2 linked regions of the Sus scrofa genome follow. The protein of the gene in region 2 purifies or fractionates together with the protein of the main gene of each other region. This does not show direct contact. Links are inferred from orthologs where the notes say so. Each region holds a gene or a part of one and is shown on either strand. Other genes may lie near its edges. The genes, in order: FAM98A and RACGAP1.

What was found.
Region 1: the proteins of RACGAP1 (region 2) and FAM98A purify together in Homo sapiens (co-immunoprecipitation; 3 studies listed by BioGRID and IntAct, with this or other methods). This does not show direct contact. The link is inferred for Sus scrofa from reciprocal best matches to the Homo sapiens genes RACGAP1 and FAM98A.

The regions. Positions count from the first base shown.
Region 1 is NC_010445.4:106,060,187-106,064,658, reverse strand, and holds the start of FAM98A (protein FAM98A), read right to left. Parts: upstream 3,093-4,472; 5' UTR 2,988-3,092; coding exon 2,935-2,987; intron 128-2,934; coding exon 1-127. UniProt on the Homo sapiens protein: Positively stimulates PRMT1-induced protein arginine methylation. Involved in skeletal homeostasis. Positively regulates lysosome peripheral distribution and ruffled border formation in osteoclasts.
Region 2 is NC_010447.5:15,925,151-15,928,967, forward strand, and holds part of RACGAP1 (rac GTPase-activating protein 1), read left to right. Parts: intron 1-728; coding exon 729-782; intron 783-1,485; coding exon 1,486-1,566; intron 1,567-1,951; coding exon 1,952-2,069; intron 2,070-2,377; coding exon 2,378-2,508; intron 2,509-3,151; coding exon 3,152-3,316; intron 3,317-3,817.

The sequences.
Region 1 (4,472 bases), on a different chromosome or scaffold from region 2:
CTCTAGTTTACAGAGCACTCTTAATTCAGACACCAACCAAGCACAGAGTTTGGTAAACTCAGGGGAACTGGCTCCAGCAGAGACTGCTTGAGACAGAGCGCCATCTTCTAACAATGGACCCTTGTAACTGGTGAGTAAGAAATTACACTTCAGAAGAATATAAAATCATATCTAATATATTACAGATACAATATGTTTACATTTTATTTTTATAATTAAGCAATGATTTAACACAGATAAGTTACAATGACCAATCTCTAAACTTGCAAATGTAAACTATTAGAAAAACAAGCTAATTCCTTCAAAATATGGGACTATTGAATAGAATCATATGTACTACTAAATTACGTCAACCTCTGTACATTTACTGAGAGCCCTTATTGTACAAAGGTTTACTTTCTTACTTTAACTGAATTAGCACTAAAATTAGATTTCTAAGTGATAACAAATTATACTATAGTTTACTATCTCAGAAATAAAACTTGGGTTATCTTTTCTAGAGGTTTTACCAGAAATTAATTTGATTAGGTTTTTAATGACTGTCTTTAAAAGCAAAAACTTCCCAATTATTCATTTGTTTTCCTTTTTCTATATTTAATGACATTAAGATGAGTAAGATATACTAGTAAATTAATATCAAGATTAATTTACTAACTGCTGGTGAGCTGATGTTTAGGTGAACTGGTGCAAATGAATCCTAATTCTTTGCAAGTGAATCAAAGGTCATTTTAAAAAATTATTAAACATTCAAACACTCAAAAGACAATAGTAACAATGAACCCCAATCTAGAATATGGCTAGAATTAAAGATTCTGCCATTCTCAAAGTAATTTTAAAACACATATTCATCTTTTATGAATGAAATCTTGATAAAAACGCTAATCATGATACATTCAATATACTTAAGATAACTTGATATTTAGAGGTATAGAGATGTTAGAGAAATGTAACATTCAACCCTCTTAAAATATAATTATATGTTTATATTTTTAATGGGACAGAAGAAATCTTACGCAAAAAGTGAGATTCTATATAGTCTGGCATCTAGATTCAAAACCACATATTGCTAGAAACTGGAATAAACAAACTAGGCCTACAAATGTCTCACTGTGTTACATACTTAAATTTTATTGATTTATCCCACAAGTAATTACTGAATTCTTACTGTGTACCAGGTGAGAAATAAATGGTCATTTATTTCTAATATTTCCCAGTAAATCCTTGAAAAGCACACATCAATCAATTAAGACTAATTTTTGATGGCTGAATGCCACCAAACTAACACGTTACGGGTTAAAATTTATAGTCAAGTTTTCAGAAAATCCCACGGTTTATCTTACAACCCATCCCAATTATTTATTTAATTAGTGTTATTACAGTTACAATGACTGTTCCAGTACCCAAGAGAAGAAAAACACAATTAACAAAGGGTAAGAGAACAATCATAGGAAGAAGTGGCATCCATCATCAGTTGTTGCAGATGGACTTCATTTAAGTAGGGTTTACCTTCATCCTCTCATGCTACTTCTCCTTCAACACTAAGTGTCACTTCTAGGAAGCTTAGGACTTGTTTCCTTTCCCAGTTTTCTTTCTTCCTGGCTCTCCTCAGTTCTCAAGGCATATTCTCACAGTGTGAACTTTTCTTCCACCTCACTTTGTACCCTTAAGTGTTCAGACCAACATTGCCAACAGACCCAAAGTGTTTACTGAATACTTCATGTGTGAAATTTAACAATTTAGTCTAAGAGGTTCACCAAAAAGACACCACTTTGCTGATTGTGACTTTTACTTAGGTTCTCATCAAAGAAATAAGCTGCCTAAAGTCTGACTTTATTCATGAAAATTCAGAGCAAGCTCCAAAGAAAAGAGCAATGGTAATTCATATTGACAGAAAAAGATAAGCACAACCACTGCCTTTCCTAAAAATGGGCAGACTTTGGGAACCCTTGTTCTTTTAATACTAAAGTAAGCTTTCCCCCAAAGGCTTCCATGGCATGGAAAAACCTAGAGGAAGGTTTTGATAAGAGACTTGTTACTTTTATAGTTTTCTAAATCCGTATTTTTTTTTTTTAAGCTGTACTGTGGGCAAATATTTAATTATACAATTTGTTTCTGGACAGCATTTAGCCCAAGAAATTCTAAGTTCTCAAGTTTTAAGAGAGTACACTGATCTGGGTGACCCAGTGAGATAAGCAGCCTTATTTCCAGCTTCCAGATACTGATGAATTATGGCTGGGTTAACTGTCAGGGGGAGACAAAAATGCACAACAAATACGCTGGGACTTGGTGGGTGAGGATGCCCCTAAGACTAAGAGCTAATGGCGGCTCAGTGAAGGTGTGTCAGAGTCAAGGGAAACAGCGAGTGGTTCCCATGAAGGTGGTGACAGGTTAGGTGTATAAGTGAGCTGGCTGGCAGAACGGATGCAGCGCAGACATGTGCCTTAGGGAAGCCTGGGTGCATGCAGACATGACTGGGCAAAGGAGATTTTCTGAGCGAAGTGGGGTGGGGTAGGAGCAGGGGCTCAAGACAGAAGCAGGAAGTTTGGAGGACAAGTAGGAAAACAGAGAATCAACTTTGGCAACCTCCAGAGTGAGGGGGTAGGGCAGAAGGATGGGGAGCACGGAGAGAAGCTGGGGAGGGGGGTGGCGTGAACCAGAGCCCAGACAATGACACGCATGACTGACAAACGCTGCGGGAAACTTGGCTGCACCGAGCACAGGGCAGGCCTAGGGGCGTCGCAGCCGGAGGGCCCCGACCCAGCAGAGCAGGCAGTGGACGTGGCATTGGGGTCCTGGAGGTATAGGGAGGCGACAGCCAGGAGCCACGGGGTGAGGCGTGGAGAGGCAGGTGTCGCTGACTGAGGTGGAGAAGGAGTTTTCGGGCCGGTGGGCGACAGTGTGGGGTTTGGGAGACCCGTGCCCTGGCAGTCTTACCCTAGATCTTCCAACGACTCCAAGATGTCAGACTCCAAGAGGTCACACTCCATGCTACTGTGGTATTCAAATTTCCGAGTCGTCAGGCTCCCCTCTTCGCCGGCAACGCGTACACTCGCGCATGCGCTGCTTCCCCGGAACTTCCAAATCGACAGCTGGCGCCTCAGTCCATGCACTGCGCATGTCCGGAGCGTGCGTAAGAAACTTGGTCCCGCCTGCCGGCCCGCCCCGGCCGCCTGAAAGATGGTCAGGCGACACTACACGCACATGCGTATTACTGAATAGTGAAGCCGACGGCCCCAAGAAGGGCAGGAGGACTGGCTGCGTGGCAGCTGGGCGTGGGGACCTGGCGAGGGCCGGGGGCGCTCTAATTTTTCCTAATTGGGTGTGCGCATGTGCGAAGCTTGGGGCGAGGCGGGCGGGGAAGGATCCTCGGGCGGGGGAGGGTGGGGGTCCATAGAGTTGGGTGGGCGTTTGCTGTGAAACTGACTGTCTGGATCCCAGTCGCCTGAGTGGGTGACCAGCCTTACCTGTGGGCCGTAGAGAGGGAGAAGTTCGTTCGCTCTAATTCCTTAGAACAGGGCTAGAGACGGGACAAGTGCCGAGAATGGCAGATAACATGCCGTCGGAGTTCCTGGTGGCTGCAGTAGCTGTATTTCGGAGTTAAGGAGTAAACTTTCCCTTGACACGGATGTATTCAGAAAGTTGATTCATTCCGTTCCTTTGCCGTTCTCTACCAGACTTCTTAAGCCCTTCCCAGACACTAAGAATCTTTATTTTAAAGGGGTGGGGGAGGGAGGTAAGAGGGGGGCCTTCGCTGTGTGTCAATATCAAATAGGATGGAATATATTTAAACCCACGCAGTTTAAAGGGTAAATAAACTTTTTGTTGTACCGTTATCGATTTGGCATTTTTTGGCATGGTGTGACACTCGCATCACGATGGGCTGTGGTTTCTTGGCAGTTACTGGTTGGGTATGTACTTAGAATTTATTGAAAAAAATGAGAAAAATTGTTTTCGAAGTGATGGCATATTTAGAAAATTACATTTAACTATAAATGGGCATAATTGTGCACTGTGTAGGCATTAAAGAGTTTTCACACTGCTATCAGTAAATTTTATTTTGTAGTTCTCAAATATTTTGGTATCTAATGGATAAATGCTCCTTATTCTTCATAGTACCTTTAAAATTCCTTATTTTGCACCATCTGGAATGAGGGAAGGAATTAACATTTATTATGTATCTACTGTGTGTTTGAATTGTATTATTTCCTTGATCGGTGTTATTTTATGCAATCATCATAAGGCTGTGTAAGTATTACTCCCATTTTGCAGGTGAGGACACTAAGGCTTAGTTGGCTTGTCTATCAAAAATGGTAAGACCTGGCTTTTGAAACTGAGATATCTCTAAATTCATATTTATTCTTATTTGACTAGTCAAATAAGGATTTATAAGCAGGATGTGAAAAAATAGGAAGATGTAGCTAGTTGGATAAACAAATCATGTATGCTTGTATATCCTGTATATAAATACCTTA
Region 2 (3,817 bases):
TATTGTAACCAAATCTAAATCAGACAACTAGTAGTTCAGTTACTTGACCATGAATTGGAGAGGTTAAATTTATTTAGCTAAGGTATATAAAACTGTTTCTGGATTTTGTTTTTTTCAGGGATTATCAGGAGTGAGGCAGTCATAGGTCGCTACTAAAAATGAATGCAAATGGTTAAAATGAGTGAGGTGAAACTAGACCGCAGTGAAAGACAAATAATTCTTCAGTGGCCATGTTAATGCCTTTTTTAGGGCCCAAGGAAGAGAGATGATTGAGAGACATAAAACCTAAACTAGAACTTTTAAAGTGGCCGTATTGTACAGAACATCTAATTAGATGAGAGCAATCCCTCAAGAGCAAGGATTACATCTAACACCGTCAGTATAGTGTCTAACATTCTGTAAGTTCTAAAACTAATTACCAACATAATCAGAAATAAAGGACCAGGCACTGGAGATAATCACGACAGAAGTTGATTCTTTAACCTTTTCTTGCCTCTGTGGTATTGATTCCTGATTCTATTATAATAGCTTCAATTTTGGAAAGAAAGCATGTTAACTTACTATTGCTCTCTAGCCTCAACATTTGAGACCCTCCCATCCCGCTCCCTGAATTGTGAGTTAGGTACTCTGACTCAAGAGGCCTTTAAAATTCTTTGTAAATTTATTTGCACAGGGTTTTGGGGAGGCCTAACCAAAGAAAGAAATTAATACAGTGTAATTGTCAACAGGATTGGGATTCTTCTTTGGTAAAGAGTTTTAAACTGAAGAAGAGAGAAAAGAGGGTATGTATGGTTTTGTTTAGTTTGGGGGTAGTGGTGGTTTTTTTGTTTGTTTGTTTGAACAAAGTGGCAGTAAAAGAGTTTTCCCCCCAAATGGTGCCTTTGGCATCGTATTGTATTCCTGGCATGTCGCTCTAGCTATTGTTAAACATGTTAGAAATGAAACCATGTTTCCGGGTGATATAGATGTTCCTTGAAGGAGTAACTCAGGGTAGAATCCTGTCCTGTTTCACTGCTCTGGGCTGCTTTCAGTTCATTCATTGAGAGGAAAAAGATATATTTAAGTTTGTTTTAAGTTGTCACATGAATTTTTATGCAAGACTTTTGTGTTCTAATATAAGTTTCCTATAAAATGTGTGTAATGGGATATATAGAGATCTATCTGTGTGTGCTTATTTAGGGGACTCAGTATGTTTCTTCAGGCTTCATGTTCTTAGATGGGATTACAGTCTCCTTTTTCTAGTGCTGTCATCTAAATTTTTCCAAAGCTTGCTTGCTTCTTCTGGAGGCACTGAGGGCATTTTTGTGTTGGTACAACTTAAGCTGTACATGGAAATAGACAATGAGAGAGAGCACATTGTTTGTTATTTACTGTAGCTTTGGTAACTAGGACTTGCATCCAAGTTGTCTAATGGAATAGTTTTGTCTTTCATGCTTCAGATCTTCTATTTGGCACTAAAATTCTTGGTTTTTACTCCATCTCTAGCGCTCTAGTAGCCGACAGTTCATTGATGGTCCCCCTGGACCTGTAAAGAAAACTCGTTCCATTGGCTCCACAGTAGACCAGGTAAGACTAGTGAGGCCAAGAAAATTGTGGTCTCGAATATGTCAAAGATTAGTGGCCTCAAGCACTAAAAATCCCAAGTCAGTATTGCAGTGTTACTTAGAGAGAGACGTTCAGTGAAAGTTTTTCTGTCTCGTAGAATCCGTATTATCCAATTTGAACAGAATAGTTAACAACTGTCCACTTTATGTTTGGTTCTTAGTTGCTTGTATGTGTACCCCTGTGACCTATATTTCTGTTTGAAAGTATGAGATTTCAACTTAAGAGTGTTTGGACCTGGGGACTTAAGGTCCTGGCTGAAACTCAGGAATTTTTCAGCTGTTCCCAAACACTGTTTAGTGGAGGGGAAGTTAGATTCATTCTTCCCTCATTATTACCTTTGTTTCAGGGAAATGAATCCATAGTTGCAAAAACTACAGTGACTGTTCCCAATGATGGCGGGCCCATCGAAGCTGTGTCCACTATTGAGACCGTGCCATATTGGACCAGGAGCCGGAGGAAAACAGGTCCGCTGGGTTTATGACTGAATTGTCTGTGTAAAACAACTAGTAAAACCTGGGGAGAATTGGTTTCTTAGACCCCTCATGAGGCAGAGTTGGATGTTTTGGGTAGTTTCTTACTGCTGCTTACTGAGGGCCAGAGCACTGTTGTGTCATGCTCTGCCTTGAGCTTGCTCGCCTGGCCTAGCCATTATAGTCACTTCTGGTTGTTGTTACAGATTACTGGTGATCTACCGGTTACATTAAAATTGGGGTTAGAATTCAGAAGGAACAAAGTACTTAGGACCCAAAGTTTGGAGTTGCCTGTTTTCTAGGTACTTTACAGCCTTGGAACAGTGACTCCACCTTGAGCAGCAGGCAGCCAGAGCCAAAAACTGAGACAGACGGCTCCAGCACTCCGCAAGGCAACGGAGGGATGCGCCTGCATGATTTCGTCTCCAAGACGGTAAATTGGGGATTGCTGCTACTCTTGGGCACATCTAGTTTTTTAATTGTAGAAGTGATAGTTACCAGTAACAAGTTTAAGTACGTTAGTGTTACAAACCGAGTGCGGGTTTTCCTTCCTCCTTCCAATCCCTCTCTCTCCAGGGGTAACTACTGGTTACGGGGGTTGTGTATCTTTCCACTCTGTGAGTAATATCAAATTAAAAGAAAGCAACTTTTCAGAAGCAGTTGTTTGTGCTTTTTTAGTGATAAGTATTTACATTTAATGCTTGACTACAGCATGTTTTTACTTTGTCCCCTTTGATTTCCTCATAAAAACCCAAGCAAACTGACTGAGGCTCAGAGGAGTTAACTGACTCGTTTGAGCCACAGGACAGTAAGTGGCAAAGTCAACATAGGGGTTTTCTGACTCCTTGTCAACAGATTCTTTCTGCTGCTATATAGTGATCCCTTCCAGCTGGATGCCCTTATGTAAATTACTTAGCCTCTTTTTGCCTCTATTTACTTAGCTTAAAGAAAACAAAGTATTTTATTAGGATCATTGTGAGAGTTGCACAAATAAATATGTGGAAAGGGATTAGAAGGTTGTTTGGCACATGTAGGTTGATGATTCTAATTCATACCACTCCCTGTTTCATCCTCAGGTTATTAAACCCGAATCTTGTGTTCCATGTGGAAAGCGAATAAAATTTGGCAAGCTGTCTCTGAAGTGTCGAGACTGTCGTGTGGTCTCTCACCCAGAATGTCGGGACCGCTGTCCCCTTCCCTGCATTCCTACCTTGGTAGGGACACCTGTCAAGATCGGAGAGGTATGATCTGTGGGAGCCATCCTTGTGTTATGGCTTCTTTAGCTTTTCAAAATTTAGGTCATTTTATTCTAAAGCTAGTGATGCCAACAAATAGTGAATAGAAGTTAGAAAACGATGGGACTTCTCTCATAGCTCAGTGGGTTAAGAATTCAGCATTGTCACTGCGTGGCCCTGGTTACCGCTGTGGCACAGGTTTCATCCCTGGCCTAGTGACTTCTGATGATACGGGCATGGCCAAGAAAAAAAAAGAAATTTTGTTTATTATTTTTATTTATTTATTTACTTTTTTAGAGCCGAACCCACAGCATATGGAGGTTCCCAGGCTAGGGGTCTAATTGGAGCTGTAGCCACTGGCCTATACCACAGCAACAACAACACCAAATCCTTAACCCACTGAGTGAGGCCAGGGATCAAACCCGCAACCTCATGGTTCCTAGTTGGATTCGTTTCCACTGCACCATGTGGGAACTCTTGTTAAGCAATCTTTTAAAATTAAATTCC